Linked DNA regions of Drosophila melanogaster. The protein of the gene in region 1 interacts with the protein of each later gene in a pairwise test. Each region holds a gene or a part of one and is shown on either strand. Other genes may lie near its edges.

What was found. Proteins that work in one complex are often made in the same cells at the same time.
Region 2: the proteins of Sap130 (region 1) and CG13476 interact in a two-hybrid assay, tested with the Drosophila melanogaster proteins (one large-scale study listed by BioGRID).

Annotation. Positions count from the first base shown.
Region 1 is NT_037436.4:12,803,902-12,807,861, forward strand, and holds the start of Sap130 (Sin3A-associated protein 130), read left to right. Parts: upstream 1-2,000; 5' UTR 2,001-2,153; intron 2,154-2,284; exon of another isoform or gene 2,285-2,338; 5' UTR 2,339-2,363; coding exon 2,364-2,436; intron 2,437-2,785; exon of another isoform or gene 2,786-2,966; coding exon 2,967-3,929; exon of another isoform or gene 3,930-3,960. Other genes in the region: Atg1 (Autophagy-related 1), read right to left, coding at 454-543.
Region 2 is NT_037436.4:14,703,937-14,706,657, reverse strand, and holds CG13476 (uncharacterized protein), read right to left. Parts: upstream 1,195-2,721; 5' UTR 1,115-1,194; coding exon 665-1,114; 3' UTR 501-664; downstream 1-500.

The sequences.
Region 1 (3,960 bases):
ACAAATCATAAACATTGTTTTTAAAAACAGGTAGACAATTTTTGTATGCCAGTACAAAACGAATATCTACAATAAAAACAAAAAATAAGCGGTTATGAATTTTTTAAAATGTGCTGGGAGTTTTTTAATTGTCATTATTTTTTGACCTGCACTGTGATCAGCTGATTTGTCGTTATATTTTGAGACATTTAGCGTGGTGCTTTGGCTCTTGGTGCTTTCTGCGTGTTTACCTTTGACAATGGCGCATTGTTAATAACTTTGGGGCTTGTTATTGTACTATTTACAAATGCGACCAAGCCCCGCATCAAAACGAAAACAATAACAACGAATTAGATGTTGTGGAAAACAGGTTAGTAACATGACGGAATTGTTTAGGCTTAACATACATATACATATATGTATATATAGGTAAATGGAAGGTATTTATTTGTTTTGAAGAGTTTATTTTCTTACCTTGCGATGACGTCCTTTGTAGACGACGGCAAAGGCGCCATGGCCCAGCATATCCTTGGAGCTGTATTCATATTCCCCGACAATATTCATTGCATGCGAAAAAGGAGGAGGATGCGACGCCTGGAAGTGCTGCTCTCTCCCACTCTCCCTCTCTCTCTCTCACAGTCGTACACCCCCTCGCGCTCCACACTCTCTTTCGCTCGTGCACGCACGCTTGCTCTCCCCTTTTATTTTCTTCGCTCTTCTGCTTTGCTTTTGCTTCCAATTGCAATTGTGGAAAATGGAAAATCAATTTCTTTCCCCTTTGGCCAGCCACTAAATGTGATTCTCTGGCCCTCGACGATCTCCGAAATTTTCACGTAACACCACCACCGTCTTTTCCGTCCACCTGGCCAGTTGACAATTATCGGGCACACACTCTAATTTCACTTGTAATTGAATTAAACCGTTCTTTTCCGTGTGCGATTATCTCGGTTTTCAGTGTGGTATTGCTTTTAATTTGCGGCCCCACACTCGCGTACAAACACACACTTGCAGGATCGATGGCACACACTCTCTCACATACACACGCACGCACACACGGACGATCAGCGTAATTTCCTTTCGGTTTTTGAAAAATGTAGCTTTTTGGTCCCAGCGAAAAACTTTGCAAAAGGTGATTTTTCCAACTACTTCGCGAGAGAGACTAGTGGAAAAGGCAAGACGAAAACACAACTAAGCGAAGTGGTGGGTTGGCCAGTGTGGCCGCAGGTGGCGAACCGCCAATACGCCCCCGCGCGAAAAATACCACTTTCTTTAAAATACCAATGGGTCTTAATTTTTTGATTATATTCTTTTAGTTTTATTTTTGGGCCCAAATTTTCGAGGATAATAGTTGAATATTGTCAAGCTAATACCTATTTCGCTATATTATTATTATTGTTAAAACTAATGATGAAGAATTGTAAACGTGAACCATTGTTTAAAAGTACCAAAACAAGCCAATTTACTTGGCTTTACTTTACTTTTCTTCTCTTTAATGAAGAAAAAGTCACAAAATTGGGACAAAGAGTTTACTTATGCCAATGCCTGCAGAGCCTTGCTGTATCATCAGTTTCTGGATGGAAATGGAGACAAAACACAATACCAATCTATTAAATGACAATAACTATCAATTAAATGACTAATATTGGCTGTACACCAAGTAACCTATCCCCAATACTATGAAGAGTAGGCATTCCTCCTGGGTTGAATTTAACAAACTTCTTTGGTGTCTATTTTAATGAAGAGAAATCAAAGTTTTGACGATATATACAAAACAATATGTGTTAACATTGCATTACTTAGTTAAAAATCTATAAATCAATGAAAATATTGAATGAATTCCTTAATTTTATGATATGTTGGAAATACTTGTATTACTAATATGATTTATAAAATTCGTGCTTAAAAACCTATCATCCTAAAATGACGGTTTAAGCGGATAAAAAATTGTTTTGGTATTTCCTTACTTGTGTAATTTCCGAGTATTTTTCTGAACACCTAGCGTTTAGTATTTCATAGATTACTTATTGTTTTCAATCTGGTAACACTACTTAATTGAGCCTTGTGAAAAGAAGAGCGGAAAACAAGAAAAACTTCTCGTATTAATAGGTGGCGCGGTAAAAATCATCAAGTCTAATTTGCTGCGCTTAATGTGTGCGACCAATTAGCATAAAAAGGCAAGTTTATCTAAGAAAAATTTCAAAGTACAGCCTTTCTCAGACTGTTTTCGTGTGCGTGCTTGTGGAGAGATTTTGTGGATACATAGTGCGCAGTGATAAGAAGAGAAAGAGCGGGTGGTGTAGAAGAGGCGAAAATCGTGTGAAACGTGGAACAGAAGTCTAATGCCAAAATCGTCTTTCAGATATCGCAAAATCAAAGCTGGAATAATGAGTGCGCCTAGTGAGGGTGGCGCGGGAGGAGGGCCGGTGGGCGGTGGAAGTACAGCTACAGCGCCATCAGGTAAGTCCACCGATATCCAAGTGGAATATTTATATATATTTATCCCCATACGTATATACGTATTAGCATTGTCCCCGTGTATGCGTATGTATACATAACATTTGTGCCCCTCTCTTTTGCTCTTGCATACGCGCACTGTTTGTTTCCTATTCCTCTTTGTGCCTCACATTCGCAGCAACGTCTGCGTTTGTATGCCTTTGTTTTGTTGTTACTGTGCATTCGTTTCAGGGTTGCCAACTGCCCACAAAATGTTCTTATTTAGCTTGATCTCAAAGATAATATATTTCCAGTTATTTATCTAATAAATTTACTTGTTTGGCTCTTAAAAAATAGAAACATACATCTTTTTAAAATTGTATATTTATATTATATTTAATTTTCATCAAAAGGAAACAAATATTATTATTAAATTTAAAAGCCAAACAAATAAACCAATGTTATATGTATGTAGCTCCCCAATTTCACTTGTCCGTCCATTGGTGTTCCATGTGGAGCTTTTAACCGAAATCTCACAGTAGCCACCCGCACAGCCCCCCTGAAAACCATTAAGATACGCACCCAACAACTGCACACCCATGCAGTGCCATCGTTGTCATTGCTGCCATCTATATATCCATCATCATCATCATCATCTCTGGCAGCCACTGGATCTTTATCCGCATCCGCATCCTTGGTATCGCACTCACATCCGCCCCTGCAGCTGCGCGGCGTCATAAACAAATACTCATTGCCATCCCATTTGCCATCCTCTGCAGCGCACCCGGCGGTGGCCGCCAAGATCACCCACGTGAAATCCGACGGCGGCGGTGGGATATCCATTGCGGGCACACCGATCCTCAGCGGAGGCACAATTAAGGTGGCGTCAGCCAATCAAGTTCAACAAACTTCCCTAGGTGGCACTCCAATTGCTCTGAATGCAGGACAAGCGACTACGGCAGCTTCGATCCGTGCTATTGGCGCTGGTGGTCAGTCCACACAGGTGCGGGTGGTGATGCCAATGATCAAGCAGCTAGAGAATGTTACGGCCACCGGAAGGACTCAGATAACAGCCATACCAGCTGCACCGGCGAGGAGTGGGGCGAATGCATCGATCACGGTTACCAGGCCCGTAACCCAGGCCACATACTTGCCGCGAGCCAGTGTGACGGCCACCCAAATGGGAGGCGTTGGCGTTGGAGTTGGCCAGCGGCTCGTCACGCCATTGAGAGCCACATCATCGGCCACGGTTACGCCCACAGCGCCAACAGTGCTGAGCTCAACCGGAGGATTCGTACGCGGAGCAACAGCATCGGTGAGCAGAAGTGGAGTGGCGCTCACATCGCAACCATCGTCGGCTGTCATCTCGTCCAGCAACAGTGGTGCTTGGATGCAGAGTCAGGGACAGGTGCAACTGATCCGAACCATTCATCAGCCGCGCCAGCGAATTATAACGACATCCGCGGGGGTTTCGAATGCCAGTGTAGTGACCACTACTCCAGTGCAGGCGCCAACAGGTATGTTGTATCTTTTCTTACTCTGCAACAT
Region 2 (2,721 bases), 1.9 Mb from region 1:
GAAAGAGCGGAGCAAAACAAACCCACCGATGAGTGAGTTTGCTTTGAGTGAGAGAGCAGAGAGCCTGAGTCAACAGGTTGTTTTGCTGGTTGGGTCACTTAACCTCGTTACTCTTTGTATTCCTCTGTGGGTCACACGGGGCGTATGTGCAATATGGCTCACTCGGTGCGTATGTGTGGCGTATATGGCTCAAGTTTGCCGACAAATCGCCGACAAATTGTTTAGGAACATGGATGCTGGCTACGCACACGACTTGGATTACCAGTTGGGATTGTCTTTAACCCAGGCTGTGGGTTGTCACAGTGCGTATACGTGATTTTGTCTTGACTTTTCTGCAGGACAATTTGTGCGGATGTTGGCGTGCTTTTCTCTTTTCTTTCTGTTCATAATTTTGTATTTTTATGGTCATCCTAAGTTTTTTCGTTTCAAGGGTTTTAACATTTCGAACGTCTTAGAAACTTTCCCACAACTATAAACTGAAGAAAGAGACAATGGGTTTTGTCATTTCACCATGCAAATTTAATTGAATCGATAAAAAATATAAAACATTTGTAGCCCTGACCACCTTATTATTCCTTTTAAATGTGTGAGGTGGAATTGACAACGCATTAAATTAAGACGTTAGTAATCGAATTGGTGCGGTCTTGGATCCTATTTAAAATGGTTACTGGTCTTCTGTTATGTTTATATCAATAGAATCCGGCACATCTTTTGGATATTGCTGATTAAAATCAGACGCTGCAAGACTACGGTCATTCAGAACTTCTGTCTCGTCGGAACTCGGATCCAAGTCGAGAAACGCCTTGGAGATCATTTTGGGATTTAGTTCGGCATCCAGGTCGTTGTTCTCAACTATTTTAATCAAAATTTCCAGGAGCAATTCACAACACTTCTTTTCGTAGCCCATAACATTGGAAATGGCATTATGGATTGTGTCCTTCATTTTTAACAGCTCTTGATTCAAGTTTTCGATATCAACTAGAGCTTTCTGGGAACTGGCCAAAGAAACAGCAATGCGACGTCCCAGATCCTCGTGCTCCAGGCGCATATTGGTGGCATTTTCCCGAAGACATTGCAGCCAAATAGAACGCTTGGCCATTCCCCTCATGTTCATTGTGAGCGTACAAAATATACAGATTTTATTTGAATTTATTTTATGTGTGAATATCTGATTACTTTCAGGGCGTCAATAGTACTGGGAAACCTATTTTAGATCCATAGAAATGACACAGAGGCAACTGGGAATGAGTAGCCTGCTTGGGTGGCGCTACAATAAGATGACTGACATCAATTATATTAATTATCAGAGTAAGCCGATTAGCTGGCTAATGAATTAAACATCATGGGAATTTCCCGGCCCATCCTGAAGGCGACAAATCAATGTCACTTAAAACATATAATTATCATCATTAGCCGCCCAAAAGCATCGCACTCCTCATGAACCTAACTTTTATTACAGACTATTTTGCCAAGCTGATGGTGCTCGGTGTTGCATTCATAATTGATTGTCCTGTGGGCAAACGTGTCCTTTGCCTTTGCGTCCTTCGCAAGATAAGCACTTAAGCTAAATGAAAGCAGATGTCTTAATTTTCATTTAAGTTGCTGACAAAGAGATTTCTAAGCTGCTCTGTCAATGCCTTTATCTGCGACCTTCCTGGTTAATTTTTTATTTCGAATGTGCGAACGTAAATGAAAAAACGCTTGGTAATTGGTCAAAGCTCTTGATTCCGGTCCAAAGCAAAGGATTTCATTTTTAATGAGAAGCAAATATGTTCAGCCCTAATTGGATTAATGGGAAGTCCTGCGGGATCTAAACGGCTTGCGGTCTAGGTCAGAGTCAATGCGATAGGGGCGTTTTTTGAGTGAAAATGTTCGCTTTGTTAACAATTTAACAACTTTGTTGGGAATGGCTTAAAATTTTGTTGGAGAAGAAGGATTAAATCATCTATATGTGATGATGAAAAGCCTATTTATATATATATTATGTTATACTCGCATTCAAGAGATTTAAACACTAAAAGATCATATCTCTATATTCTAAGAGCTTTTCATGAATTTTGATTTTTATAATTAAAAAGGCGCAACTCGTTGTGAACATTGTTGTAGGCAAATGAAAAGTCCTTTTTAACCGGCACGATAATTAAATCATGCTCAAACAGAATTTGAACTGAAATCTCCATCATCGGTTTAACTTTTCTTCCGTTTCCTCCGACCGGAAAAAGCTCTTCCTTAGCTGTCAACTGGTAAATGCCGAATTCTATCAATTTGTCATTCAATCATTGCACGAACGTTGCTAAGCCGACTATGCAAATTGAAGTCAAGAGGCATTAAGTCCAATCCCAAAACTAAAACGCTACTCCATGACACAATTGTCAGGGTTTTATCGGCTTATTTCTATGCATGAGTGCAGACACTCACAAGGACACGTTTATACCCACACAAATGCAGAACACTTTTTGAAAAGGAAGAAGCTTTGGCAATTTTCCGATTATTTTTTCTTCCATGTCGAACTTATGTGAATGCATATATAAGAACATCAATCTTTTTTGTTAGTCTGAATTAAGAGAACTTTATTTCTGATGTGGATTGCAAATACTATTCGATTTTAAAGTCGAATTCATATTTAAGAGACTAAGGACGTGTTGACTTTTGTTTATAGTGAAGTTCAAAATGTACCTTATTTATTTATTTTTTTTCTTTTATATATATTTGCCTCAATAA